2 linked regions of the Arabidopsis thaliana genome follow. The protein of the gene in region 1 interacts with the protein of each later gene in a pairwise test. Each region holds a gene or a part of one and is shown on either strand. Other genes may lie near its edges. The genes, in order: GYRB1 and GYRA.

What was found.
Region 2: the proteins of GYRB1 (region 1) and GYRA interact in a two-hybrid assay, tested with the Arabidopsis thaliana proteins (one study listed by BioGRID).

Annotation. Positions count from the first base shown.
Region 1 is NC_003074.8:3,169,742-3,185,093, reverse strand, and holds GYRB1 (DNA gyrase subunit B), read left to right. Parts: upstream 1-5,307; 5' UTR 5,308-5,337; coding exon 5,338-5,510; intron 5,511-5,864; coding exon 5,865-6,006; intron 6,007-6,186; coding exon 6,187-6,267; intron 6,268-6,353; coding exon 6,354-6,467; intron 6,468-6,825; coding exon 6,826-6,882; intron 6,883-7,038; coding exon 7,039-7,140; intron 7,141-7,471; coding exon 7,472-7,622; intron 7,623-7,714; coding exon 7,715-7,791; intron 7,792-7,929; coding exon 7,930-8,040; intron 8,041-8,380; coding exon 8,381-8,451; intron 8,452-8,723; coding exon 8,724-8,865; intron 8,866-9,265; coding exon 9,266-9,364; intron 9,365-9,478; coding exon 9,479-9,607; intron 9,608-9,820; coding exon 9,821-9,935; intron 9,936-10,016; coding exon 10,017-10,084; intron 10,085-10,171; coding exon 10,172-10,285; intron 10,286-10,361; coding exon 10,362-10,478; intron 10,479-10,567; coding exon 10,568-10,621; intron 10,622-10,704; coding exon 10,705-10,810; intron 10,811-10,995; and 5 more. Other genes in the region: AT3G10290 (Nucleotide-sugar transporter family protein), read left to right, coding at 1-357, 848-951, 1,123-1,351, 1,437-1,583; KCS14 (3-ketoacyl-CoA synthase 14), read right to left, coding at 3,506-4,308, 4,454-5,030; AT3G10260 (Reticulon family protein), read left to right, coding at 12,526-12,766, 12,841-13,021, 13,106-13,247, 13,350-13,419, 13,512-13,681; AT3G10250 (histidine-tRNA ligase), read left to right, coding at 14,676-14,723, 14,839-14,944, 15,295-15,352.
Region 2 is NC_003074.8:3,336,182-3,351,553, reverse strand, and holds GYRA (DNA GYRASE A), read left to right. Parts: upstream 1-5,193; 5' UTR 5,194-5,310; coding exon 5,311-5,735; intron 5,736-5,829; coding exon 5,830-5,899; intron 5,900-5,997; coding exon 5,998-6,063; intron 6,064-6,177; coding exon 6,178-6,279; intron 6,280-6,467; coding exon 6,468-6,512; intron 6,513-6,588; coding exon 6,589-6,687; intron 6,688-6,826; coding exon 6,827-6,913; intron 6,914-7,046; coding exon 7,047-7,117; intron 7,118-7,605; coding exon 7,606-7,714; intron 7,715-7,819; coding exon 7,820-7,882; intron 7,883-8,031; coding exon 8,032-8,097; intron 8,098-8,192; coding exon 8,193-8,281; intron 8,282-8,482; coding exon 8,483-8,531; intron 8,532-8,684; coding exon 8,685-8,771; intron 8,772-8,872; coding exon 8,873-8,966; intron 8,967-9,351; coding exon 9,352-9,422; intron 9,423-9,507; coding exon 9,508-9,597; intron 9,598-9,987; coding exon 9,988-10,113; intron 10,114-10,199; coding exon 10,200-10,357; intron 10,358-10,455; and 17 more. Other genes in the region: GalAK (galacturonic acid kinase), read left to right, coding at 691-714, 1,019-1,132, 1,240-1,311, 1,742-1,785, 2,262-2,406, 2,643-2,708, 2,881-2,960, 3,086-3,185 and 6 more; AT3G10680 (HSP20-like chaperones superfamily protein), read right to left, coding at 12,209-13,542, 13,643-13,781; NAP7 (non-intrinsic ABC protein 7), read left to right, coding at 14,250-14,609, 14,802-14,852, 14,958-15,179, 15,308-15,372. UniProt on the Arabidopsis thaliana protein: A type II topoisomerase that negatively supercoils closed circular double-stranded DNA in an ATP-dependent manner.

The sequences.
Region 1 (15,352 bases):
TTCCTCCTCTCCAATTACGGATTCAAATTCCCTATTTTCCTCACAATGTGTCACATGTCCGCTTGCGCTATCCTCAGCTACGTCTCCATCGTCTTCCTCAAGCTCGTCCCTCTCCAATACCTCAAATCTCGTTCTCAGTTTCTCAAGGTTGCGACTCTCAGCATTGTCTTTTGTGCCTCTGTCGTCGGTGGAAACATCTCCCTTCGTTATCTCCCTGTCTCCTTTAATCAAGCCGTTGGTGCTACGACGCCGTTTTTCACTGCACTCTTCGCTTATATCATGACCTTTAAGAGAGAAGCTTGGGTCACTTATGGCGCTCTCGTCCCCGTTGTTACCGGTGTCGTTATCGCCAGTGGGGTACGTCTTTTTCTCTACAATTCTCGTAATGAAAACGTCTTTGGTTGTTGATTTTGATTCTGCCGATTTTGAAATATGTGTTCTTTTACCTGTAGATTGTGATGTCTGATTTGTTGTTAGTTTAGAGCCATTCAAGATGATTGTTTGTGTTCCACGTATGTGTCTGAAACCCAAAATAGGTTTGCTTAGTTTCATGAATGTGATTACATTCAGTATACAAATTCAATTTTCCCTGTCAAGTACAAATTTGAGTCCTCTGTGGCTGTATTATCTACTTATCTAAAGCTTCATCCTTTAATGCGTTATTCCAGTCATGTGTTATCTAAAGCTTCAGACTTTCTTCTTGTAACTATTGCCATTCTTACATTCTACATTGTTCTGTGAATTATTTGATCTCTTTGCTAGGCCTTAGCTATTGAATGTTTTGTTTGTTGATTATGGGATTTCTGTATTGAATGATCCTGCTCTGGGTCTGCCTTTGTGGTTACAGGGTGAACCAGGTTTTCACTGGTTTGGATTCATTATGTGCATTAGTGCTACTGCAGCAAGAGCTTTTAAATCTGTTCTTCAAGGCATCTTACTTTCTTCCGAGGGGTAAATCCGTTAACTTTTCTTTTGCATTTGGTTACTCAATGAATCAGAAAACCTTATTATATGCTATAATAATGTAAAAGGTTCTGCAACTACAGTTGGATAAGCAAAGTAGGAAGCTGAAGCTACTAATGCTCATCTTAGGGTTTAACAGATCGTTAAGTTTTCTTGCAGAGAAAGGTTGAATTCGATGAATTTGATGCTGTACATGTCTCCAATAGCCGTCATTGCTCTTCTGCCTGTCACAATTTTTATGGAGCCGGACGTGATGAGTGTGACACTAACACTCGGAAGACAACATAAGTACATGTATATACTTCTGCTGGTTAACTCTGTAATGGCTTATTCAGCCAACTTGTTAAACTTTCTGGTTACCAAGCACACAAGCGCACTTACCCTGCAGGTAAAAATACTGAAAAGATTTTGAACTTAAACAAAACTAGAGGAGTGCCTAATTGGATCAAACATGTGTATGTTTAATGTTTCAGGTCCTTGGAAATGCTAAAGGAGCGGTTGCAGTTGTGATATCGATCCTGCTTTTCCGAAACCCGGTAACGGTGATGGGAATTGGCGGGTACAGTATAACCGTTCTCGGGGTGGTTGCTTATGGAGAGACTAAACGCAGGTTTAGATGAAGCTCAAAGACTGATATTTTCACTTAACTCATTTTTGTATCTTAACCTATAGACTTATACTTACTTATATATGTAGGTCGATTCTATGACTTATGTTCTTTTTGTTCTGGAGTTGTTGTGTTGCAAACTTGCCAGACACTTTGTATTCACTCACTCAGAACCATAAAATGATCCAGTTAAATTCATTTTTTTAGTTCGATTCTACCAATACGCAGGTTTAGATGAACGCAACACAACAATTCATGTATACGTATAAAGAAACTGAATCTGTCAAACTGTGGCATGTTGCAACCTTCTGGCATCAAATGAGAAATCGGGTCTGCCCATTCCACATGGAAGATGACCATTGTTTACATTCAAAACCAGAATACAATGGTCTCTTCCGGTCTTCAACCCATTTTCCCTTTGCAGAGTTACAAACTGAATAGGAAACCAAAATGCATCACAAAACCAGACTATAATATCTTGAGATTCAAAAACTTTGGATCATAAACTTACTAAATAGTAGAAGACATAGCCAAAAAAAAATGAATACTAAAAGCTGTGGAGAGCATATAAATACCTGAAGAAGATGAAAACTGACGTTATACATCAAAAAGAGAATCATGAAGCGAGTTTTCCTCAGAAACCAGGAGTAAAATCACCAAAAGAATGATGATAATCAAGGCAAGTGATACACTCCCTCTGAATATATGACTTTTTACCACCAGACATCTTAGAGATTATCATCAACAAAGAAAACGCTTAAGCTCTTCTATATGAATTGCATTGGTTTTAATTTTGTTCCAAGCTTTTTGTTTGACAACAGTTTTGATACTTCGGAAAAGAGAAGTAAATAAATATAAACATAGGAAGGGAGGAGCTACATGTCTACTATTTTTATTTTATAAGCCAATCAGAGCGTTTCATGTCATACCCCACTCTCACCTCTCGGGCAATTTCACACCCACTCTCACCAATCGCGTGATGAGCGCGTGTATACGTTTTCTGTGGGTTCTAACCCACCAAATGGCTTGTTTTGAAACACACTCGCTCCTTTAAAAAAAAGCCTCGAGTGCGTGATTTCAGTGTCTTTCTCCTTTAATTCCAATTCAAACCCAACCGAAATCAATTGAATTTTTCAAAACCATGTAAACCGAACCGAAATTAAAACACAAACGACAAACTAGCAATTGTCACTTCCACTATTGATCCAACTCCGACGAACCAGATTGATAATTTTGATTCGATTCCACACAGATAACATATAGTCCAAACCAAACGCAATTCATAAGAGAGCCAAATTATTACGCTATGTTCGAAGCTTTTTTAACTTGCCACAAATCAATTCACAAAATAAGAAATTGTGCTCAGAAATTTTCAGAAGAATTCTCGATCATAACTTTATGCGGTGGTGGTGGCTGTGAATAGCCAACGGAGATTGCTCCATGAGAAATTGAACCGGCATCGCCGCCGGTTTCATTGTCCACATAGTAACTCCGATTGCTGTGCGAGTTTATCTCAGTCTCCCTTATTGCGGTAATGGTGAAACCAGTCCACATATATTTTAATCAATGGATTATTGGGCTTTTTATATTAGGCCCATTAAATTCATCCGGCTTTTAAATAAAATGAGTTTTGTGATAGTCCGAGACCATTGCATTCCTCAGTGAATACAACAACATTATCTGTCTTACTAAATGTAAATGACCATATCAACAAAAAAAAATCGACTTGTTTGTCAATAAATAAAAATTCCTCGATTTCCATATTCATATAAAAGAAATAGATACCAAATTGTTGGCAAAAACAAGCAAATAATACATATTTGTGGGGAGAGAAACAAAAAAAAAAGCTACACTTTAATAGAAAGCTAATAACATATTGTTGACTTATGATAACTTGTAACGTGACTTCACACGCGTAGTAGTATTACTTAAAACTTAGGTCACGTGAACTGGATACTTATGAACCGAGTCACCCCACGGGTTACCCACCAATGACTCGTTAGCCGGAATCGTTCTCAATGCTCTCCACACAATACTATTACATTTAAAACCCGACCCAAACGCCAACTGCCAAACCCTATCTCCTCGTTTGACCCGACATTTAGCCTCCACGTAAGCCAGCTCGTACCACAGCGACGAGCTTGAAGTGTTTCCAAAGCGGTGCAAAGTCATCCGAGACGGCTCAAGATCAAACTCACTAAGTCCAAGACCTTTTTCAACCGCGTCAAGTAACGCTCTACCACCAGCGTGAATACAGAAATGCTTGAAACATAGTTTAAAATCCGGAACATATGGACTAACCTTTAACCGGAAAAGCTTACTCTTTACCAAAAAGAGGATAAACCGGAGTTTTTCAGATAAAGGCAAAACAAGCGGACCAAGTGCTGTTAGATTCGTCTTTAACGTGTCACCAGCAACAACCGTTAGTTCTTTAGAGAGTGCGACTCCAACGATACCTTTACTATCTTCTTTTTGTTCAGCACAAGTGTAGTGTTTATCGCTAGAGCCTTTGTGAGTCCTTACAATATGAGTCAATTCGTACTTAGACCGGACTCGGTCTTGACTCCGGTTTGAGAGCATAACCGCAGCGCCACCTACTCGGAATAGACAGTTAGGGACTAACATTGACCGGTCGTTGCCTCGATACATGCTTAGAGTCATGTTCTCCGTACTAACAATAACTGCGTAGGTATTAGGGTTTGCCTTTAGTAGATTTGTGGCGAGGTCCACGGAGATTCCTAAAGAAAGTTCAAGAAGCTATGAAGAGTGGTAAACTCTAAAAGGAAAGATAGAAACTGGGGAGTTGGCTGATAAAGATGGACAGTAACGATTGCGTAATATAAATTTATCGGCCTCGTCAAGCCCCGGCGCTGCATCCCATACCGGAGAGATTGTAAGTTTTGACGTCGGTTTTAAGCTTGTACCGGTTTACGATCATGGACGAGAGAGATGGGTTAGGGTTAAACAAGCTGCAGTTTACGATGAAGATTCCGACTTCTCTCGGTTCGATTCCGGTTTTCTTAAATAGTGAGTTAAGAGCTCCGAAGATGACTAATTCGGATTCATGTCTCGCCTCGTACATTGATGGAGTTGGTGGAGAGGTTAACATGCAACGTGGGGAGTACGTATCGTCTCCTAAACCGGACCGGTTTAGTATCCTCGTCATGAATTGGATTGTTTCTTCGGTGTAGAGTTGAGCGCCTTTGGCCATGTTGAAGAACGTTTCGGATGAGATTTTGCAAGAATCCGTGGGTTGGTGACATGAGAAATCCACTAGGTAAACCGGTTTAGACCGGGTGGTTGAGTAGGCATAGAAGAAGATGGATATCAGGAGTAAACCGATCTTGACCGGAAAAGGAGAGAAGAAGTCATGGTGAAAGTGAAGTAGATCAAGTTCAAAGAGAGATAGAAGGATGAGTATAAGCAAAAGAAGCTTGAAATCTGCCATTGCAATGAACATATGAGAAAATATTGGGCATTGGGTGGGTTTTAATTTATAAGCAACGTACCTTACCAATATTTATGATATGAATAGAGATGGCGTTAAGCGCGTTTGTGCCGCGGAAAATGTGGTCTGCGTTTTAAGGTTCACCTATTCAAACAAAATTCAGAGACATCGAAAATGAAAAATCCTTAATGGTTTTTTTTGGGCTGCAAATCATAATCGGAATTTATTTAATTGAAGTACAAGAACTTTGGGCCGGGTGGGTTTGAGTAACCCGGCCCGACATGAGTACCCGTAAAACTTGTTTGAAGCAGAAGAAAACATGTCTTTGACTGTCACCATCAACTCCTCCATGGCTCTAGTTCAGAGACAACACTCTTATCTTCTCCGTTATTTTCGTCTCATGGCTTCTCGTCCTCGTCCTCGTCTCTTCTCTCACTCTCTATATCCTTCACTTCACCGTCACTCCTCAGCTCTCAGCTCTTCAACACCCAGGTATTGTATTAATTAGCTCATTTCTTCTTTTCACTTTTCCGGTTTTGGTTTCCGGGGAAATTACGCAGTGAAATGAAGATTGAATAGAAGAAGCAATACCAATTTGCCTCCGATGATAAAAATCATTCCTTTACGCGATTGCTGATAGTTTCCAAGTTTTCTCGGAATTGGGAATTTTATGTTATACTACTTTTCAAGTGAAAGTCAATTGCTTTCTTCAGCTCCTTCAAAAATGTTTTTCGTATTTGGTCACTTTCAGGGCTTTAGTTTACTATTAACATTTAGCTATGTGATTCGCTTCCATAGTCTGAAGCAAAAGTTGGTAGTATAACCATTATTCACATTTGGTTTCAGGATAAAGTTTCAGTTAGCCAATGTTTTTAGTCAAAGACTTGTACAAAGAAATGCGGTCTCACCTAAAAGTTTTATGTCATCGACCATGGAGTCTCTCCAAGAGAGCTCTACCTCTAAGGATTATAGTTCCGAGCACATCCAAGTAATTCCTCTAAAGATCTTTTTCGTTTTCTTGCTTTTTTAGATGATTTGCTGTTTTTATGTTTGTGTACTCGATCATTGGAACGATGTTTTCTTCTATAGTTATTGAAAATTCCTACTATGAATCTCTTAGTTTCACTTTTTTGGGTTATTGTATCTTAAATTCTCTATGGTGTATTAGGTGTTGGAAGGCTTAGACCCTGTCAGGAAAAGACCTGGGATGTATATTGGTAGCACTGGATCTCGTGGTTTGCACCATCTGGTAAATGCCTTTTTCTTTTGACGTTCTTGGTCGTGACTGGCTCCTATCAACTGGTTATATCCTTCCCAATACATGTTGTTTCTTAGGTTTATGAGATCCTTGACAACGCAATTGACGAGGCCCAAGCTGGTTTTGCTTCAAAGATCGACGTTGTTTTACATTCAGATGATTCAGTCAGCATTTCAGACAATGGACGTGGGGTATGTGATTTGTTCCACTTACTCATCTTCGCGTATATTTGTAACTGAAAACATGGATATTGTTTTCTTATGCCGAGATGCAAGAGAAAGGTTAAGTGGCACCCAATGGCATTCTGTACTCTGTAGTTATGTGTAGGAGCCAATTTTGGTATTCCTAGCTGATTTTTCTCAAAGCTTCCGGTTTTATATCTAATGTGCACCAAGAGTAAACAATATATGTCAATCATGCTCTATCTTATTCATTTACGTTTTTTTTATTTATTTTGTATATAGCTTTCTTTCATCCCAGAAGTAAAATTTGTTGCTAATATCAAAATGCATTTGGTCACTTTTATTCATACAAGCTTTCTGTCTGCAGATACCCACAGATTTGCATCCTGCAACGGGAAAATCGTCTTTGGAAACTGTCCTTACGGTACTGCCACTTGACAAACATCTATTAGTACACCTTATACTTATATATTGTGTAGAAAGCTATCTATGTTTGTCTCAATGTTGATTCACACGTATTTTTGTTTTTGTTATCCTAACATTTGGTCCTGCAATTAATCAGTGCTTTTTATTTGTGCAGGTCTTACATGCAGGTGGTAAGTTTGGTGGCAAGAGTAGTGGGTACAGCGTGTCTGGTGGATTGCATGGCGTAGGTTTATCGGTTGTGAATGCATTGTCAGAGGTGTGTTGTAACCGTTAGTACATTGTTGCCTTTTCTGCTAAATTGAAAATATCCTCTGTCACATGTTTGTAATGATAATTAGATCCTGCGCATTTGATCGTATAGGAAGGGTTTGCTATGTTATTGCAAATTCTTTATTTTGTGTGAAAGTTAATCTAATGTCCAAACCTGATATCATATGAGAAAGATCCTGGAATGGTTCTGTACTGAGTGCTGGGGCTATCAATTTCAGATACTTTCAACTATAAGAAACTGTTATATTTGGCAAGACATCAGGAGTCTATTAGGATAATATGCATACAACTAATTATGGAGCTCCCATTATTCACAGGCATTGGAGGTTATAGTTCGCAGAGATGGAATGGAGTTTCAGCAGAAGTATTCTCGTGGAAAGCCCGTAACAACACTTACATGTCATGTCCTACCACCAGAGTCAAGGGGGACTCAAGGGACATGCATCCGGTTCTGGCCTGACAAAGAAGGTTTTGCCTGTTTTCCGTACTTATCTATTGTACCCTCCCAAAGATAGGATTTGATGACTAACTTATCTTTTCTGAAACAAACTGGTAATCAGTATTCACAACTGCAATTCAATTCGACCATAACACTATTGCTGGACGGATCAGGGAGCTTGCTTTTCTCAATCCAAAGGTATAGGCAGCCGTGATATTTGATTTGTGTGCTTCACGGAGCATTCTTAACCTGCTCGTTTTAGTGAGTTCTTATTTAGCAGAAGCTAGTGTTCGACTGTTTCCTTTGTCATAATCAAGAGGTTCATATTGAATGCAGGTTACAATCTCTCTAAAAAAGGAGGATGATGATCCAGAAAGGGACGTGTATAGTGAATATTTTTATGCTGGAGGGTTAACTGAATATGTTAGCTGGCTAAATACTGATAAGGTGAGGCATGTACTGTGGGTCCCTTGTTATAGTTGTATAAAATCTCAATATTTGCCAATCGGTGATGCTAGACTTAAAATAGTGGCAATTAAATTGGAATGGGTTTTGTGAAACAAAATGCAATGGGGATGGTACTAATACTTTTCCTTCTCAGCTTACTTGATGGTAAGATGTGTTGTCTGTTCATTATTCTTTAGGGCTCTATTTAGCATGAGCATGGAACCTTTGTAAACTTAATCTCTATTATGTTAGCTCTTATGCATTTAGGTCTCTGGTGTTATAGGTCATCCTTATTACTTTTCCCTTCCGAAAATATGAATTTACAATTCGTTTTGTTCAGAAACCGCTTCATGATGTGCTGGGTTTCCGGAAAGAGATAAATGGCTCCACCGTTGACGTTTCACTTCAGTGGTATTTTACTCTTCCTTCTACATACGTCGTCTAATATCTGCTCATGTGATGAACAGATTATAATCTGGGTTGCATTTAGCGTAAAACCACATACTTGAACATTTTGGCTGACTGATTTTATGGTTTACTTTATCTAAACTGGATGGAAATATGTTGTACCGTATGCGGAGTTGATGACTGTATATACAGTTCTTCTAGACGAATATGTGTATATCATGGTAGCTATCCAAAATTTATATGGATCTAAGTATATAATCTCGTTATTGTACCAGGTGCTCAGATGCCTATTCAGACACGATGCTGGGATACGCGAATAGTATTCGGACCATAGATGGTGGGACACATATAGAAGGTGTGAAGGCTTCATTAACAAGAACTCTAAATTCCCTTGCAAAAAAGTTAAAGGTTATCAAGGTGGGATACAACTTACCAACTGCGTTTTTTCCACTTTATATTTCCACTCTTAGAGGCTTAGAGCCTTTTTCCCCTTCTCTTTTCCTCCTTTTTCATGGAAACTGCAAATGCCTAATTGCGGTTAGTTGGTCATTATTGTGGTTGAAAGAGTCTTCTGAGATAATGTAGGTCAAGGGTTATATTATCTATTCCTCTCCATGGATTGAGACTAAATTTAAATACTCATCTGCACTTAAAAGACATGCTTTACGGACAATTAATAATGTACTACCATGATTGAACTGTGAAACATGCCAGTTATAGAGGTTGTTTTTTGCTTACATTTAAGCATTTATCTTGACCTGTTCTGAAAAGGTTGCTAACTCATAGTGTAACTTATTGTTGTTGGTTATGTTTTCAGGAAAAGGATATTAGCTTAAGTGGGGAACATGTTAGGGAAGGATTGACCTGCATTGTCTCAGTCAAGGTTCCGAACCCTGAGTTTGAAGGTCAAACAAAGGTACTAGGGAGCATAATGATATGTTGACCCTCATTTTTGTCAACAATCTCTGGTCAGCAGGCCATAAGTTTTCTTGGATTCTGTTGATCATTTTAATTTTTTTGTGTCCCAAAGACAAGACTAGGAAATCCAGAGGTGAGAAAAATTGTTGACCAATCAGTCCAGGAGTACCTCACGGAGTACTTGGAATTGCATCCGGATGTACTTGAAAGCATTATTTCCAAATCCTTGAATGCGTACAAGGTGCGACATTGAAATACCTGCTCATACTGTCACATCTTCACCTACACACACATGCACTCAAACACTCAAACATGTGTTTTATCCCTTGAGAAGCATTTTCTGATATCTGTGATTAGCGTATTCTTTGATTGAGTATGTGTCTCCTACAGTATGTCTAGTTACTAACTTCAACCAAATGACCATGGATTTTCCTTGCTGACTCTTTCTTTTTAGGCTGCTCTGGCTGCCAAGAGGGCTAGGGAGTTGGTAAGATCAAAAAGCGTTTTGAAGTCATCCTCACTTCCTGGGAAACTTGCAGATTGCTCATCTACAGATCCTGCAGAATCTGGTATGCATTAACCAATATGAAAGTGCCTTGTAAGCTGTGAAAGTTAGTCAGTTTATTGACATCTATCTCCTATGCTACCAGAGATTTTCATTGTCGAAGGAGATTCGGCTGGTGGCAGCGCGAAACAGGGTCGTGACAGGCGTTTCCAGGTAAAAAAAATCATTCTGCTCAGCGTGTCACTAACAGGCTCTGCTTCTATTTTGTTAGTCTGTAACACTGTATTTCGATCTATGCAGGCAATTCTTCCTTTGAGAGGCAAAATTTTGAATATTGAGAGAAAGGATGAAGCAGCAATGTATAAGAACGAAGAAATTCAAAATCTTATTCTTGGCCTTGGTCTTGGAGTTAAGGTAATATATCCTTTTTCATATCCTGCTGTTTGTTGGTATGTTCGGAAAACTCAGTTTGACATAAAACTTATTTCAGGGAGAAGATTTTAACAAGGAGAATCTGCGTTACCATAAAATTATCATCTTAACAGATGCAGATGTTGATGGTGCACATATCCGGACACTTCTGTTGACCTTTTTCTTCAGATATCAGGTACTAGTTTAGTTTGATAAAACATTAGTTGAAGTAGCCTTGATTGCTGATTGAGTTATGTGAAATTTAATGAAATTTACTTTCTACAGAGAGCCTTGTTTGACGCGGGTTGCATATACGTTGGTGTTCCACCTCTTTTCAAGGTAAGCTCTTAGTATCTATAATCTTATGCTTCAGATTGAACGGAATTTTTTTCTAAAGCTAGTCTCTCTGTGAAAACGATCAGGTTGAGAGGGGGAAACAGGCGCACTACTGCTACGATGATGCAGCTCTTAAAAAAATCACTGCTTCGTTCCCTGGAAACGCATCCTACAACATTCAGAGGTTCAAAGGTAAAACATCCTACTTCTCACATCATGAATGTGTTCTTTTGGAAAGGATAAATAACTATGAAAAGTAATGTATAGTAGTTGTTATGTGTTAGCTATTAAGATACTCTTGAGTGTGTGCATAACGAAATCTAGATTAGTCTCAACTATTGGATTCTATGTAATGTTTCTTGCTTTTGCATCTGCAGGTTTGGGTGAGATGATGCCTGCGCAGCTATGGGAAACAACGATGAATCCAGATACAAGGATATTGAAGCAACTAGTTGTTGACGACGCAGCAGAAACGAATATGGTCTTCTCATCTCTGATGGGTGCTCGGGTAAGCCAATGAATTGCCAGACTCGGACTCATGATAATAGTCAATAAACTGGCATAACTCATCGTGACAATGTTATGTTCTGTGTATGTTTCAGGTCGATGTCAGGAAGGAACTCATCAAAAGTGCTGCGACTAGGATGAATCTGGAGAATCTCGACATATAACACAGCTTATAGTTATTGCTTCAGCTATATACAAACAACAAAGAAACGACTCTGGTGAAATGCAAAGGGAGACATCATCATTTCAAGGTTAAATCATATAGTCACAGGCCAACAGGATTTTGTTCTTCTTCTGGCCTATAAAGGACAAAATTCATTGTTAGGATTATCTCTTTCAATGTCAAAATTTAGCAATTCACAAGGCTCTTTGTTGGGCGTTTCTTTCCATTGGAACTAGAATTTTTCTAGAGACAAGAGAAATTTGCATTCACTAGGTATTTACTATATATTATGACTTCAACAATTTGGCATTCCTGAAAATCATGCATGCGACGAAGTTAAAACTAATGATTAGAAGGAAGATGAGAAGGTAACTATTGTGCAATGAATATCTTCTCTGCCTGTTGTATTGATTTTAATTGTATTCGAGGTTAAGTTTTGACTGATGTTTTACTAGCGATCGCAGAGTGATCGATAATTAACAAGTTTATTTTTCGATTTGGTAGGTATATAGTGAATTAAACATGATTTTTGTTCTTCCTGAACAACCTAAAGCAGTGTTATGAACGCATCACGCATGTAACAACCAGTCAACCATATTAGTGTGACTTTAATTCATTGAATAAATGAAATTTTTTTATTTTCAACAAGGCTTGTAACGGTTGATAAATCTACTCAGAAAACTTCTTTTTGTTTGTCTTGCAAATACAAACGATACGTTTCAACTCTTTTTTTGGCGTCCAATAATACTTCTTAAAAAATAATTTGTTTATTGTCATGAGCTACACGTGGGAAGACAAGTCCTATCCATTATTACTACACACTACTCCAACATTTGCCCACATTTTGAAAAAAACATTTTTTTGTAATTCAATTATTCGACACAACCAATCCCATCTCTTGTTTCACTTCCGCCCTCCATCTTTCTTCGTGATTGAGAGAATCTTCAACGAAAGAAAGCAACTTTTTTTGGGTGAAATTCACAGAACAACCAAGGTTTTTCTTCTTCTTCTTCTTCTCCAGTTCCTACAGGTTTACTCTTACTCATCTTCATCTTTGTCTCGTTCTTGCTCTTCAATTTCTGGTCTTTTTGTTGTTCTTGTCTTCTCGCCAAATATACTAAGATCTAAGTTTTATATCATTGTAATTATCACCAACGAACTGTTAAGACCAAATTTGATTACTCGAAATGGTTTTGGGTTTAGGGTATGAAGAACTGATCAAAAGATTCAATTTTTTATGAAGTCAACTTTCATCTGCAAATTGAGCAATCTCAGATTTCGATTGTGTTTCAGAATCATGCCTGACAAGAACATCGTAGAGGACGTTATCGGTGATTTGGTGGATAACTTCACGGAGACTGTTCAGAAGAACAAACATGGTTCCTCCTTCTTCGAACAAGAAGATTCCGTCAGTTCTCGTTTCAACCGTTTGTTTGATCGCCAGAAGCCAATTCATCATGTCTTAGGCGGTGGCAAATGTAAGAATTCGTATACAGGAACATAAATATGAGATTGGTTTTTCTTGTAATTGAGTATTGAGAGATTCCTTCAGCTGCTGATGTGTTGTTATGGAGGAACAAGAAGATCTCTGCAAGTGTTTTGATGGGAGCTACCGCAATTTGGGTGCTTTTTGAATGGATCAATTTCCATTTCCTGTCTCTCGTTTGCTATGCCCTCTTGCTTGGTATGATTGCACAATTCGTTTGGTCTAACGCCTCTGGATTCTTAAACCGGTAACTTGTTGGAGTGTTGTTGTCATTATTATTGGTACCTTGTGATTGCAATCTAACACAATGTCCTTTAATGTCTCAAAGCAGCTCACAGTCTAGAGTGCCTCGCCTAGTTCTTCCAAAGGATTTCTTTGCTGAAGTCGGTGTGGCCGTTGGAAAAGAAGTTAACCGCGGTTTGTTGTTTCTTCAGGACTTGGCTTGTAAAGGGAATTTGAAACAGTTCCTCATGGTGCGTTGTTTGTTTCAATAACCACAATCTTGTTTGTATAATGTATTAGCACTTTCATTACTATGCTAAGATAGAAACTTTGATCACAATATCATTTTTCAGGCTGTAATCGGACTATGGGTAGCTGCAATGGTCGGGAGCTGTTGCAATTTCCTAACTGTTTTGTATATCGGTGAGTGGTTCTTATTAGTGTATCCTCTTTTGAGATTGGAAGTTGAGTAATACAAGACTTTAAAGGGATGCATTTTATGTGTGTGTGTGAAGGGTTTGTTGGGGCACACACAATGCCGGTTCTGTATGAGAGATACGAAGACGAAGTGGATGGTTTTATGGATTCTATGATCATGAAGTTTCATAGTCATTACAAGAAGCTTGATACTGGGTTTCTCAGTAGAATCCCAAGTGGAAAGTTTGGATTAAAGAAGCGTGAGTGACTAAATCACTCAAGCATTTTCTTATTTTACCTTGTTTGTTGTTAGAACAATATGGATTATGGTTTGCTAAATGAATGTTTTGAGAATATTATTCATTCATGTAGATTTTGTGTATTTCCTTACTAAACAATACCTTGTCCATGTATTTGTCAATACCTTGGTTAATAAGAGAATCATCATATCTGTCAAAATTATACAAGTAGATTGAGAGTTCATTAACTCAATGTCTAAAAATGTAAGACTTAAAACAAGTTTGAATCAAAATTATTTCACAAATCAAAAGTATGGTTTTCTTATTTCGTAAGAATCGTTGACTAATATTGACCGGCTGGCTAATAAGAAGATCAGATAACTCTACAGGTATGGGATCCACCATTGTCAAACATTTTACACGTGTCAGCTTCCTGAGCTTCGAAGCCTGAATGTTAAAATTAAAAAATTTAAAAGAAAGAAATATAAAAAGAAGTAAATCAAAGAAAATGGAGTAAAGAAATTGATCCACGATCGATCAACAAAGTGAGGTTAGGTTCCATCTCCACCTCTTTCTCTCTCGAATCTTCTCCGATTAAAGGTGCTCTTTTGCTTATGAAATTTGTGTTTCTTAAGCTAATCGAATTTGTTTTCTTGATCGTTTTGATGTTCTTTTTTTTTTTTGTTATTGTTGTTGATTTGATGTGATCCGGTTGTATTTGAAGACGAAATCGATTCGAAGTGTTGAGGTTTAGTTTGGGGTAAAATAGATGATTCTCAATCTGTTCTTATTTGTGAATTATTTTGTATTTCTGATTCTCTGTTTTTTTCTGTTTTTTTTTGTTTTTTTTTGGATTTGAAACCTAGAGAAAGAACCTTGTTTCATTAGTGGGAGATAAAAACCTCTAATGATTTGATATAAATTTTTGAACTTGTACAGATTCGAATCGATTTCCCTTGTACCCTCTCTTAATACTGGTTCTTGCCTGACAGGAACAAGGTCTGGTTTACAAAAGTCTCATAGATGTCGAGTGGAACAGTGAGAAGGGTTTCACGTCAAGATATACAACTGGTAATAACAACAAAAATAGATCATGATGAAGGAAGGCCTTTGGTTTCATTGTCTGAATCTGCGACAATTTGAATTCGTCCTCTTCCAACTCAATAAAACTTACTTTTGGTTTCAGGTTCAAAACCTTATAGAACGATGCCTTCAACTTTACATGAATCAGAAAGAAGTTGTGGATACTTTACTAGAGCAGGCTAAAATCGAGCCTGGGTTCACAGAACTAGGTAGCCACTCAAATACTCTGTTTTCTTTTCATAGAAATTAGCATCTGATTCTGTAATCCTTGTTCATTGATGAATCTGGATTCATTACTGTGAATGAAAAGGTATTAATATATCTATTACCAGTTCAGGACATCTGTAGCCAAAATCATGTGTGAATGATTTTGTTGTTGCTTAAAACTGAAATCTTATGTATTGTTTGGTTCAAGTGTCACCAAGAAGGTCTTATTGGTCAGAACCTAGTTAGGAAGTGCTCAATAGATCATGAAATATGAGAGAATATGTATAGTAGTGAGTATCGATGATAAAAAATGGGGATTTATGATAACACGCTTTCTTTTTATGTTTAAAAGTTTGGCAGAAGCTTGAAGAAGAGAATCGGGAGTTTTTCAAAGCTTACTATCTTAGGCT
Region 2 (15,372 bases), 170 kb from region 1:
TGATATACATTGTACAACTTCTTGACCCTTTTATTTGAATAATCTTGACGCTAAGTCAGAACATATAAAATTAAATCAAGAAAAACTCAAACTGTAAGTAGAAGGTCATCTGATCAAGAAAGCTCGCAAAGAGGTAATCTGGCGTTGGAGAAGAGCTTGCGTTGTAAGATCTTATATATCTGATGGGTTATATCTTATATGAGATCAAGTCTTGGGTAAAAATGTACCAAGGATCATTGTACGTATAAATTGACATTGATAGCGAGTATGAGTATGAGAGATACCTATATCACTTAAAGTGAACGAAATTCATATGGATAACAAATGAGATGAGATCAATGTTATCTCGTCTCTTTCTATTTGAAAATAGTTCAATTAGTATAAGCAGACATATTTTTTTTGATTTGAATCAATATATACTACTGTTTTTACTAAACTCAACCAGTCATGGAATAGAAAAGATGGTGAAAATAATCAAGGCTTTTAACTGAAGGGAAATTAAAGGTTTACCAAACACTAACCAAAAGGATAGAATTAGACGTGTTACCAAGCAGCACCTTATTTGGTCATCTTCCTCATTCGAAGGTTACTCGCACTTCCTCTGCACACTTCTTCCTCTCCATCTAACCTCAGTACTCCTACAATCCTCTAAGAATCCATAGATCAACTGCTGGGAAAAGCTTCGCGACAATGTCTTGGCCTACGGATTCTGAGGTTATTCTTCATTTTTTTTTCCATTTACGCAACGAATCTGCTTGTTATCGTTGGTTAACTCGGTGCCAATATCCTCCACTGTGTTAATTTTCGTTAGAATTAGCGACGGAGATGTGTTTTCCGGTTAACCATTTCCCCGGCGAATTGTCAATCGCACATGTGATCGAACAATTTCATTAGTTTCTATGTGTGGAGCTCAATGTATATGCTGCAGATTGCCGCGAGTGTTTGTTTTTTGTGTTTGGATGTTTTCGAAATTTGGCTTTGGTGTTAATCCTACGAGATCGTTCATTTATGTCTCCAGTTAAATTCCATAAAGGAGGCAGTGGCTCAGATGAGTGGAAGAGATAAAGGAGAAGTTCGAGTGGTGGTCGCTCCTTATCGTATATGTCCTTTAGGAGCTCACATTGATCACCAGGTTGGTTTCTGATTGTAGCGATGTAATCATTGTTTTGATTCAACTACAAGAGTTAGTCTGATTCATACCATTTCTTTGTGAATTCAAATCATCTTTGGTGTTCACAGGGTGGAACTGTATCAGCTATGACGATTAATAAAGGGATCCTTCTTGGTTTTGTTCCATCGGGTGATACTCAGGTGTGTATTAGTTATCATGATTCTTATGTGTTTTGGTATACCTCTGCGTTTCTTATAAGTGAACTTGTCAATCAAATTCATATGTTTGACATGCTTGGATTCTTGCGCAAATAAGCACCATTCTAATTTTTAGATGAATGTCTCGTTGATGGTATAATGCAATTCTCTTAAGTAGCATTCCGTATTCTGGGCTTGGTTCAGCTTAAGAGTAGATGGAGATTCTAATTGTGTACAATATAGTATCCTGGTCTCTTTTTGTTTCTCACCTGACCTGAGAAAGCATTAAAGAATTGGATAATTTAAAATGAATGTGGTTTGTAGACAGGAGACAAACATATATTTCGGAGCTGGGAAAGTTCCTTGTGTCTGTGTGTTTCACTTGAGCCTTGAAGTCTCTGTACCGTTTATTCTCTTTCTAATTTATATGCAGGTCCAGTTGCGCTCTGCACAATTTGAAGGAGAAGTATGTTTCAGGTGTGCATATCTTTCATGATCTCTCATCTTGTCGTTAGTGTTTTCAAACTTTTATATCCATCCTCAGACGTGCATAAGCTTGTTACTAAGCCCCGTATAGGGTAAAGTGCACCTTGGATATTGTGGAAGTATTTCGATCTGGCCAGCATTCCATTATATCTCATTTTAGTATGAAAATGAACTTATCTTTCACTTAAGTCTTAGACATTTATCAGATTCAACCTTTAAGTTTGCTCATAATTCCCTAGAATTCATTGGAAATTGAAGACCCTTAGCGCTGTAAGGGATACAAAAGTATCCGTTTTGGATGAGCTTGCATGATTTTCTAGTTTCTGTTTCATGCATTCTATTTTACCTTTTCTAAAGGTATTTTTGTTTTCCTTAGTGCATTTCAATTTTGTACTCGTCATGGTGGTAAAGGAATTGAAGATCTTCTATGCATAATGCTAATAGCTTTTCGGGTTCTGAAATTATAGAGTAGATGAAATCCAGCACCCAATAGGCCTAGCAAACAAGAATGGTGCAAGCACGCCATCTCCATCGAAGGAAAAAAGTATCTGGGGTACTTATGCCAGAGGAGCAGTTTATGCGTTACAGAGCAGCAAAAAGAATCTCAAACAGGTAACAGGTTCAAATTTGGTCTTCTGGTTATAGCTATAGATAAAGTTTACCATTAATGGGAAATGAGGTTTAGCCTGCACATTTGCTGTGTGATCTTCTGGGGTTCCACATTTACCCTTATTTGGTTGCCATACCTGATCTTTTAGGCCTTGATTTCCCCATAATAGTTGACATAATTGTATTTAATGGAAAAGGTATTTGAATATGTTTCTAAGTAATTGTTTTGATCTTTGAAGGGCATTATTGGTTACCTCAGTGGCTCAAATGGACTAGATAGCTCCGGGCTTAGCTCATCAGCTGCTGTAAGTAACTGAATCCCGCCTGTTTTTGTACAGCAGAAATTTCTCCGGAAAGACAATTTTTACTGCTCTTTAATAGTAACTAAACATTTTTAGCATATGAGAGTGGTGTTTACTTGTCATTTTTGGAAAATGAATCTTGTATATTATTTTATGATCGCCAGAAATGTGACAGGTTGGTGTGGCATACCTGCTAGCTCTAGAGAATGCAAACGAATTGACTGTATCCCCAACAGAAAATATCGAATATGACAGGTATATTCCCTTCTAATGTAACCAAGAAGCTCTTCTGTATTGCTTCATGAGCAGTTGTTTCTCTGTGAAACCAGCAATTAGTGCTGCAAATTGGTCAATTTATATGTGACTTACTGCGTCTGCAGGCTTATTGAGAATGGGTATCTGGGTCTGCGGAATGGAATTTTGGATCAATCAGCTATTTTGCTTTCGAATTATGGGTGTCTAACATACATGGACTGCAAGGTAAAATTCCTTGATTTGTAAGTGATATAGTGTGCAAAAAAGCAAGAAGCTTGTTCATGTGGCAAAACCAAGACTGTTCAATGGGATGCCTAAGATGTTTTTGATCTCTAAACTGAAAATGACTCACGATCAAATCAGATCTACAACATTCTCATTGCTTTCACGAGAAAATAAGTGTTTAATCTTTTCAATTGCTTCGATTTTAATGTATTTCAATGCTGAGTTCACTTCTTCCTAAAATGAAAATGAATGGTTAGAATCAGGAGGCCTTGAAGAAATCCTTCCTAACCAGCCATAGATAGGGAAACTTTATTTTCTTCCAGAAACTGCCATCTCAGAAAAACTGTTTGAAATATGCAGACTTTGGACCACGAGCTTGTACAGGCTCCTGAACTGGAGAAACCGTTCAGGATATTGTTAGCATTCTCAGGCTTGAGGCAGGCGTTGACCACCAACCCAGGATATAATCTGCGAGTTTCTGAGTGTCAAGAGGCAGCAAAAGTTCTTTTGACGTATGTGCAAATCTGTTTGATTCATATTTATCTACATTTTCGCTTATTTAGATTTAAATTTCAGTGGAAATGCTGCAAAGTTTATTTCTCTATTGCTTGTGATACTCATTTTTCTGCATCACAAGATTCACACCCTTCTCTTGATTTACTTTTTCTTTTCAGTGCATCTGGGAACAGTGAGCTGGAACCTACGTTGTGCAATGGTAAAAAAACTTTAAGTGTGGACTTTAACTTATTCGTTGCATGCTGATTAGTTTTTCTTTGTTGCCATGTCTCTAACTGTCCCACTGAATAGTTGAGCATGCGGTCTATGAAGCTCACAAGGTAAGAAAATAAGATTCTTAAGCTTTTGGTAAAACAGGTTCCACCTATATCAGGCCTATGTAAATATGTAATACAATAATACTTGTTCGTGCAGCATGAGCTGAAACCGGTTTTAGCTAAAAGAGCAGAGCATTATTTCTCGGAGAACATGCGAGTTATCAAAGGCAAATGTTCTTGAATTCTTGTAGATGTCTCTTTATGTGCATGAATGATTCATTAAGCTCTTTATGATGCTTAACGGACTTTTATGAATGTTTGTTCTTAAATTTCAGGACGGGAAGCCTGGGCTTCAGGGAATCTTGAAGAATTTGGAAAGCTAATTTCAGCATCCGGCTTGAGTTCCATTGAGAATTACGAATGCGGTACATTACACTCTCTTTTCTTCTCTCCCAAATGCAACATATCCTATAGTGAATACAGACCACTAGTATGCTTACAGACATTATTCTCTCTTAGATTCATTATTTTGGTTTTAAATTCTGTGAGTTTTGTGAAGGTGCGGAGCCACTGATCCAGCTATACAAGATTCTTCTGAAGGCTCCTGGTGTATATGGAGCTAGATTCAGCGGTGCAGGTTTCAGGGGATGTTGTCTAGCCTTTGTAGATGCAGAAAAAGCTGAGGCAGCTGCTTCATATGTGAAGGATGAATATGAAAAGGCCCAACCCGAGTTTGCTAACAATCTAAATGGAGGAAAACCTGTTCTCATCTGTGAAGCAGGTGACGCTGCTCGTGTTCTTCTCTGATCAATCCTGGAGTTTTTGGTTTCTTCCCCACTTAAACTCGATTTTTTTGTCCCTTATATCTCTCACGCTTATTGATTCTTTGCTTGTTTATCTCTTTTTGATCCTGTCTGAGAAATTCTCTGGTCTCTTTGGTCGGAGTTTCATCATTGCTTGATACATTTTTTTTGCTACAAATACATAATGTAAATCATTCTCTACCGTTTTCGAGTCGATAGAAGAATCGCAAACTTCAAAAATGTGACTAACATTTCTCCATAAATTTGTTAAATTTTCAACAATTGGTGAATTTAGTTCTGTAATTGATCTAACAAAGACACTATACAAGTATGAAATTAGAAATTGAAATCGAAAGTTAGTTATTATAATCTTGTTTGTATAAAATAGTGTATATCTCAAATAGAGATACAGATTAGTTTTTTGTTTGGACACAAAGACCCCCGCCAAAGTATTGAAATTCGCGCCTGAGAAATTCTCCGGTGTGGCTCTCTAGGGTTTTAGCACTTTAATCCATTTGTACTTGTAAAAATCCCTAAAACCCTCTGGGCATGACTCCAGTATTATGCCATTCCACTGCTTCAATCCCTAACCCTAACTCTCTCATGTCTCTCTCCTCCACTCTCCGTCTCTCTTCCTCCCTTCTTCGCCGCTCCTTCTTCCGATTCCCCCTCACCGACCCATTATGCCGTCTCCGCCGCACTGAACCCTCCGCCACGCGTTTCTTCTCCTCCCGTACTCCTCGGTCCGGCAAATTCGTTGTCGGTGCTGGTAAGCGCGGAGATGAGCAGGTCAAGGAAGAGTCCGGAGCTAACAATGGCGGTTTGGTTGTTTCTGGGGACGAATCTCGTATTGTGCCTTTTGAGCTACATAAGGAAGCTACTGAGTCGTATATGTCGTATGCGCTCTCTGTTTTGCTTGGACGTGCTTTGCCTGATGTTAGAGACGGACTAAAACCAGTACATCGGAGAATTCTGTTGAGTGACTTTCGTTCGGCTCAAAGCTACTGATATTTTTAAGCTTAGTCAGTGGTATTGTTCCTTCTAATGTTCGATTATTTTGTCTTCCAGCTTTGCAATGCATGAGTTGGGGATGTCATCTAAAAAACCATACAAGAAATGTGCAAGAGTTGTTGGAGAGGTATATTATTGATTTTTGGAAAGTGTTTTCTCAGTCGATTTCTCTAAATATCTTATTCTGAAGAACGATTTGTGCTGTTGAATTCTTTGGGTTTTCAGGTTCTTGGTAAATTCCATCCGCATGGAGATACTGCTGTTTATGATTCTCTTGTTAGGATGGCTCAGGTAAATATCTGAATTCATGGAATGTAGTCCAGTCCTCAAATAATGTTTCAGGCACGATTCGATTCTTCCCAAACTTCTGACTTTTTTGTTTTAATACCTTTGTTTTTTTGGCAGAGTTTCTCCTTGAGATGTCCACTTATCCAAGGCCATGGAAATTTTGGCTCAATAGATGCAGATCCTCCTGCTGCTATGCGTTACACTGAATGCAGACTCGATGTGAGTGCCTTTTACCTTACTTTCCCTTCTAGTTGAAATGGTTTTCCCTGCAATTCACTTTTTCTAGTTGTTTCACTTGTCTTTGCTATCTATAGTGTATCTCTCATCTCTACTTTTTCTCTTGTCTTGAGATGAACATGTATTTTTGTCAGTGTTTTCAGCTGATTGTACTTATTTTTTTTCTGCAGCCACTGGCAGAGGCAGTACTATTGTCTGATCTGGATCAAGATACGGTAACCTCACTATTAATTTGTTGCCAAGTTTACCGATACTCAACTAGATGGTCCTTAACCTCTTTTGTTTTGGCAGGTGGATTTTGTGGCCAATTTTGATAACTCACAAAAAGAACCAGCAGTGTTGCCTGCTCGTCTTCCTGCTTTGTTGTTGAATGGAGCTTCTGGGATTGCGGTAAAATAATCAAACAAATCTTAAATCTGAACTCCTTAATAGATTTTGTTCGAGATTTCTTCAGTTAATCTTGTGCAGATTTTCCCTGCTGTATGAGATTGAATATGCAGTTGAATCTTGATCATTTCACATTGTTTAGGTTGGCATGGCAACAAATATTCCCCCTCATAATCTTGGGGAGTTGGTAGACGTGCTTTGCGCTTTAATCCATAATCCAGAAGCAACGGTATCACTCATCTCCCCTTTGTTTTTCTGTGATTTATCAATTTGTGGGTCTTTTGTTTTACATGAAAAATCCTCTGTTTTATAAGTAGACAACTCATAAGATTTTGTTTCCACTTTCTTCTTCGTCTGGGCAGCTGCAAGAACTGCTGGAATACATGCCTGCACCGGATTTTCCAACTGGAGGAATAATAATGGGAAACCTTGGGTAACTCTTTGCTTTCCAATTTCTCCCCAAAGGGATCTTATACATTAATGACTTTTGTTTGCCCACCTCGTTTGCTAATTTTTTGAGAGTAGGCTATCTATAGGATCAAATAGAAAGACTCACTTCTAAAGTGTGAAACTTTTTTTTTATGGAAATAGAAAAGCATTTTGTTTTGTTTTGATCTATGATTCTAACAGATTACAGAAGCTGTACCTATATCTTAAAAGGAACCTAGAAAATGAGTGAAGAGGATGGTCCAGTTAATAGTTTTCCTTTATTTGTCTGTCATATGCAGTTTTTGAATCATCATGTTTTTTTCTGATGGTGTGAGTGATTTTTTAATATTCTGAAAGCTTATATGTTGTGTAGTACATTTACTCTCGAGTTTGTTGAATACCTTTATTAAAAAAATAGTTTGCATTCATATGCCATTTCCTTTTACAATGTTGGATTCTTATAATTTTCTAATGTGTGTTTGCGCTTTCAAGGGTTTTGGATGCTTACCGAACTGGCCGAGGGCGAGTTGTAGTTAGAGGAAAAGCTGAAGTTGAATTGTTGGATCCAAAGACAAAGCGGAATGCAGTTATTATCACAGAGGTGATCAATTTAGTTTTTTAGATTAATGTTCAGATCTCCATGGATGAGGGTTTCAAAAATGTTTATTAGCAGTAGAGTAATGCCTTTAGTGTGACTTTATTGCAGATTCCTTACCAGACAAACAAAGCTACACTTGTCCAGAAGATTGCCGAACTTGTTGAAAATAAGGTACAACTAAACTTGCGACATCTAATGTTTATTTTGCTTCACTTAGCAATATGTACTTATTTTACTCAGAGGTGTGTTACATTTCTAGTATGTCCTTATATGCTTGCAAAGTTTCTTCTTTATTCATTGATGTTGGTGTTTGTTTTCAGACGCTAGAGGGCATAAGTGACATACGTGACGAGAGTGATCGTAATGGGATGCGTGTGGTTATTGAGGTATTACACTGTTTCCTCTGCACTTAGATGTATTAGTCTGCTTTAAAATTTCATATTGGAAGGTAATTAAGATAATTTCCAATACTTCTCTATAGCTCAAAAGAGGAGGGGATCCTGCACTTGTGCTTAATAATCTTTACCGGCATACTGCCCTTCAATCAAGCTTCAGCTGCAACATGGTGGGGTGAGTTGCATCAACCGATAACTTCTTATTTCCTGTACTTTTTTGAAGAGTGGGCATATAAAAGAACTTGGGCATTTTCCAGGATGACTAGTTGAAAATTCTCTAATGAGTATGTTATGCTTGTAAATATATTAAGGATCATGTATTCACATATGCGTTTTTCTTTATCGTAACTGGATTATGGTATTCTGTGTTTTACAGTATCTGCGATGGAGAACCCAAGCTAATGGGATTAAAAGAACTACTTCAGGTGACCACTTGTCTATGTAAATCATTTATCTACGTAGCCCACAAGGAGTAATAGAAAAGTGAAGATCAGAGATAGGATATTTACTTCTGTGCTACTGTAATCACATTTTAAAGTAAATTTGTTGATTACTTTCTGTTTCTTGCTTGTGTGTAGGCATTTATAGATTTCAGGTGTTCTGTCGTCGAAAGGCGTGCAAGATTCAAGCTTTCACATGCACAACAACGAAAGCATATTATTGAGGTGCGACTAGAAATATTTAACTTTCTTAAATCTGCTCGTGAAGACCATGATGTAATGATGTAAAGCATTTTTTCTAATATCTTCACTGTATATATGCTTAGGGTATTGTGGTTGGGCTTGACAATGTGGACGAAGTAATCGAACTCATCACGAAGGCCTCAAGTCATTCCTCTGCTACTGCTGCTTTACAAAGTGGTGAGCTATATTTTACTTTGACAATATAATCAATGTAACAATCTTGAACTGCACATTATAGGTTGATGTATAAACAGAATTCGGAAAAGTGAGCGAGAATTAGGAGTCAAAAAGTAGACTAGAGCCAATTTTTCTTAGGTGGACTGATAGATGTAGTCTAGGATGTACACTATTAAAAGAATACATCTTGTGGTGAACTCTTCCATATTACATTTGAACATTATATATTTCTTGTCTTTTTATCTGGAACTGCTGGAGTCTCATTCGTTGTAAGATTTGATCTTAATTGCAAAGATTTCTTAGGGATTTATGCTTTGTAAGTCTCTATTGTAAGGGACGATACCATATATTAAAATTAACACTTGTCAAACATTTACTTATGTAGAATATGGTCTTTCTGAGAAACAAGCTGAGGCTATACTGGAGATAACTCTTCGAAGGCTAACTGCTCTTGAGGTGCTTTCTTATTCTCGCTAAGTTCAATTTATGAAACTTGTAGGCTTGACAATGTTCTAACTAGATTCTCCCTTCATAAATGCAGCGGAAAAAGTTTACTGATGAAAGTAGTTCACTAACAGAGCAAATTACAAAGTTGGAGCAGCTATTATCAACCCGAACAAACATCCTAAAGGTGACACACTCACTTTTTAGTTATCTGTTCTTTTGGCTATTGATATTAGAAATTTAGAACACCTAGATGCTAGTAGAATGATAGATGCATCAATATATGTACTCCAAATTTGTAAGCTTGACTGTTTGAGTCCACTGAGGTTCAAAATCTAGTCCATGCATTATGATGTGGTATAAGGATTCAAATGCTTCTTCCATTTCTTGTTTGGTACTTATTTTTATATCTGTAAAGCTGCTTACTATATGTTGCTGTTCTGGGCCAATGTTAGGAAGATAACTGATACATGATGATTTTCTTGTAGACCAAAATTGAACTATTTGCTTCGTTTACTTCATTGTATATTACTTACTACTTTATTCTCTTCGTTGTTTTTCTTGTATTTTTCTTTAGTTAATCGAACAAGAAGCAATAGAGCTGAAGGACAGATTCTCAAGTCCCAGGCGTTCAATGTTGGAGGATTCTGACAGTGGTGATCTAGAAGATATAGATGTTATTCCAAATGAAGAGATGCTGATGGTATGTTGCATACTTAAACCTAGAAAGTTTCTCAACGTTGAAATTTTTGTTGTTTGTTTTGTAACTTTTGATATGGATGACTATAGGCAGTCAGCGAAAAGGGCTATGTGAAGAGAATGAAGGCCGATACATTCAATCTTCAGCATCGTGGAACAATTGGCAAATCTGTTGGGAAACTAAGAGTTGATGATGCAATGTCTGACTTTCTTGTTTGTCATGCACATGACCATGTCCTCTTTTTCAGGTATGTATACCTCAAAATTTCCTTTGTGTTTGCTACGCACATGGATATTAATTTTCTGCCTTGTTGTAATTCATTGCTTATACTTGTTGTACATTCAGTGACCGGGGTATAGTTTACTCAACCCGTGCATATAAAATTCCAGAATGCTCTCGCAATGCAGCTGGTACACCTTTGGTTCAGGTAATTACATATCTGTGTATCTATGTTTTCCTTCTGCTATGTCAAAAATTATTCAATTTTATGAAAGGCTAATGTTTTGCTGTGTTCATGTGACTTGTGGAAGCAGATATTATCCATGTCGGAAGGTGAAAGAGTAACCTCCATTGTTCCTGTTAGCGAGTTTGCTGAAGATCGCTACCTCCTGATGCTTACAGTGAATGGCTGCATCAAGAAAGTATCTTTGAAATTATTTTCAGGAATACGCTCAACTGGAATCATAGCAATTCAGTTGGTTTGTCCCCTTTTTCTTCTTAGTCATATAGGAAGTCTTCTTAACAAGGTTACTCTAACAAAATTATTTGTCTTCAGAATTCTGGTGATGAACTGAAATGGGTTCGTTGTTGCTCAAGCGACGATCTTGTAGCCATGGCATCCCAAAATGGAATGGTCGCCTTGAGTACATGTGATGGTGTAAGTTGTGGCTCTCATTTTTTCTAAATGATTCATCTTTCATGTAAACCTTTTAATACTTGAGCAAACTCTGATGGCTTTTGTTTGTTTAGGTTCGCACACTGAGCAGAAATACAAAGGGAGTGACTGCCATGAGACTCAAGAATGAGGATAAGATAGCGAGCATGGACATCATACCTGCATCTCTGCGGAAAGATATGGAAGAGAAGTCGGAAGATGCTTCACTTGTGTATGTTTTTCTTAACTTATATCTGCTGATGTTTGCTCTAGAAACTTACTTATGTCTTACTGTCTTCTTTTGTTAACACAATCACAAAAGCAGGAAACAATCCACGGGTCCATGGCTATTATTCGTGTGTGAGAATGGCTATGGAAAGCGTGTTCCTCTGAGTAGCTTCCGGCGTTCGCGTCTGAACAGAGTTGGTTTATCTGGATACAAGGTAGGATCTGGATTTTCACCATTTTTGGTTGTGTTTGTGTTGATTTTTCCCTTACATCTAAATCTCAATTTGTCAGTTTGCTGAGGATGATCGTTTGGCTGCTGTTTTCGTTGTTGGTTACTCCTTGGCTGGTAAGTATACACTGCCACAAATACGGATTTAAATGTTCTTTGATTGCTGTTTATATATAATCTCACCATTGGGTTTTCTTGCAGAGGATGGGGAGAGTGATGAGCAAGTAGTTCTGGTGAGCCAAAGCGGAACTGTGAACCGGATCAAAGTCAGGGATATCTCAATCCAATCTCGCAGAGCACGGTACTCCCTTCATGTGACAGTCTTTTCAAATGTATATTTTATATGGTTTCTCATTTGATTGTTAATTTCTCAGGGGAGTGATTCTTATGCGGCTAGATCATGCCGGCAAAATCCAATCTGCATCTCTGATCTCTGCAGCAGATGAAGAAGAAACAGAAGGAACTCTAAGTAATGAAGCCGTAGAAGCCGTTAGCCTGTAAATTTTACAATCCCAATTCCACCAGTTTTTGAGACAATTGTCAAGTTCAGTACATAGAGTCTATGTGCTAACTCTCTTCATTTTGTTTTTTTGTGATGTTACTACGAGAAGAGAAAACCATGATCGAAGTTAGTTATTAACATTAATCTGCTTCACATTTTGTTGGGTTTAACTATATACATATGTTAAGAAAGTTGAAACCAATTATTCTGGTTATAACCAAAACAGTAGTGCTCTTCTCACTTTTGTTTTGTTGTTAACCACAAATCAGGAGAAATATTTTACTAGTGGTACAAAGACGTAAGCACCAAACCCCATAATCACAAGAGCAGCTACACCAACATTCACCAAAGGTATGTCATATGTCCGACTCTCTTCTTCACCCATTCCTCTTCCTCCTACTGCAAGAGGAGGATCCATGTCGCTCTTCTTCTGTCCTTCTTTGACTAGTAATGGACCGGTTTCTGGTTCCACGACTTCAGCATTATCCTTTAGATCGCCTCTATCTTTGGCTAAACCAGCTTCGTCTATCTTCTTCTGCTCCACTCTGTCTTGAATCTCTCCTTCACTAACCATGTCTCCAACCATCTCATTATTCTCATCCTGCTTGTTTCTCACGCCATCATCAACATCCAGTTTGATTCTTTCATCTCCCTCTTTCGTTTTTAGCTTAGGCTCTGCTTGGTTTCTCTGAGCAACATTCTTCTCTATTCTTCTTGCCTCATCACCAACAACTGGTTTTGTAAATTTATCTTCTTTCTTTGGTCCCAAGTTAATCCTTCCTCCCTCCAGCTTCTGACCTATTTCACCATCTTCCTTTTTCTCAACAACTTTGGCATGTTCCTTGGATTCCACTCTAGCATCTATGGTCGGCGTTCTGCTAATCTCTTTTTCCTTCACCTTCTGTCCAGTCTTAAGCTGACTTATATCATCATCTTTCTTTCTCTCAATTACTTTCTCTTCTTTTGCCTGTACCTTAGGTTTTAAGCTACCACCAAGGGTTGGTGTACTTTTAGCCTCTTCCTCCTTCAATTTATCTCCTATCTTTTGCTGAACTATGTGAGCAGCCTCCTTTCTCTCAACCACCTTCTCTTCTTTCGCACGTTCTCTTCCCCCTAAGCTAGGGATTGCCTCTCGCGCTTTAACTTTCGCTTCAGACTTCTCTTGACTGCCCGTTGGCACTGCTCTTTTACCCTCAACCACTGATTTATACGTTTTGGGTGCTTCTTCATTCAACGTTGGAGTGGTTTTCTCTTGACTTGTTCCCACTTGTTTCTCCTCCTCCAAAGCTTTCTTTCGTCCCAAGGTACTCCCATTAGGACCAGGCCCTCCACTTTTCTCCTGATTAGACCTCTGTCCAATCTTCTCCTGATCTTGGACTGCTTTCTCCTGTTTGTTAGCTTCCACGATTGCTGGAAACTCGATGGTCAAGAGTCCATGTGAGAAGGAGGTGCTCAATTTGGTCATGTCACAGGTATCAGGGACACGGTAAGCTTCACTGAAACGAGCCTTAGTCTGAGCAGAGAGCGGTCGCTGGCCTTGAATCTGGACAGTCCTTGTCCTCTCATCCTTTTTTATTTCTATTTGATCCCTATAAAACCCTGCCGGTTCCACACAATAAACGAGAAATTCATAAAGTTTGTTATCAATTAAAGTTTGATCTCAAGAAACAAAAAGAAAGAAAGAGAGAAGAAAAAAGACCAGGAAGATTAACGTAGAGGAAAATGGAAGATCCGGAGTTAGTCCATTGAGCTCTCGGCTTGAAACTACTCACTGTCGGAGCCAGCGGTGGCGGATGACGGCCACCTCCCGGCCTTGGTCTCTTGAAAATCGCCGCCATATATGTTTATATATAGATCACACTATATCAGGACAAAAAGTTCAAAGCCTTTACGAAATAAATGAATCAAACTGTATATGAAAACATAAAAAATGTTTGAATGATGTATATAAGATAGAAAGAGAGGTAAGAAGAGATTTTGAGATTACGGTATGGGTTTAGGATTGCTTTAGGGTATGGACTTTGTCTGTTTCTTCATCCCAAGGTCTCATATGTGTAAATAGTTTCTTGTACTTCAAGGAAAGAAGCTTTTAAGGTTTTGAAGAATATGCGTATCAACACAAAGTGATGTCGTTTTATTTGTTATTTCCATTTTTTTTTTGTTTCCATTTTAATTAAGCTAGTAGCCGATATATATATTACGTGGCATTCAACATGTGAAATTAAAAGAATCCCTGGACCTAACTAACCACATCACTTCACCGGATAAAACCTCCACCGTCTTCTTCCGCCGCAATTTCTGTCTCCATGGCCGGCGTTAACCTACAGCTCCGTCACGCATACTCCATAGCTCAATTCGTTCCAACTGTTTCTTCTCCTCCTCCTCTTCCTACTCAGCGAGTTCGCCTCGGGACTTCACCCTCTCGTGTTCTATTATGCAATCTCCGAGCTAATTCCGCCGCCGCTCCAATCCTGCGAACTACTCGCCGTTCAGTTATTGTTTCGGCGTCTTCCGTATCCTCAGCCGTCGATTCGGATTCGTTGGTGGAAGATCGTGATGACGTGGGGAGGATCCCGTTGCTTGAAGTTAGGGATTTGAGAGCAGTGATTGCTGAATCGAGACAAGAGATACTGAAAGGCGTCAATTTGGTTGTCTACGAAGGAGAGGTGCGTATTAATCAATGCAATTTTATGGTTAAGACTTGAAATTTAATTTGCAGAAAGCTTTGCCTGGTAGTGCTGTCTCATTATATGATAAAGTTTTGAGTTTGATATCATAACTTGTGAATTCTATTTGTGTGGATTTGTTTTGCATTGCTGCCGATTGTAATCCATGGCTTCTTTTGTGGTTGCTAATAGGTTCACGCAGTGATGGGGAAGAACGGTTCAGGAAAGAGCACGTTTTCGAAGGTGAACATTTTATTTGTATATCTTGTATCTCAGGATTAACATTGATGCTGCAGAGTATTGTTCTCTTTCTGTTTGTTATCTTAGTGAGAGTCTTATTATTTGTAGGTTCTTGTTGGTCATCCCGATTATGAAGTGACGGGAGGGAGTATTGTGTTTAAAGGGCAGAATCTACTTGATATGGAACCAGAGGATAGATCTCTTGCCGGTCTCTTTATGAGTTTCCAGTCCCCAGTTGAGATCCCTGGTGTTAGCAATATGGATTTCTTGAATATGGCATTCAATGCTCGGAAAAGAAAGCTTGGTCAGCCAGAGCTTGATCCAATCCAGGTGCCTTATCGAATTAAATGACTTGGATTTGGTTTGCACTGTTTCTTACTTGTTGTTGTTTGCTAAATGGTCCCAATTGTAGAACTGTCTATGTATTATGTCTTACTGATATCACATGGCTCATGCAGTTCTACAGCCACTTGGTATCAAAACTCGAAGTTGTGAATATGAAGACCGATTTTCTCAACAGAAA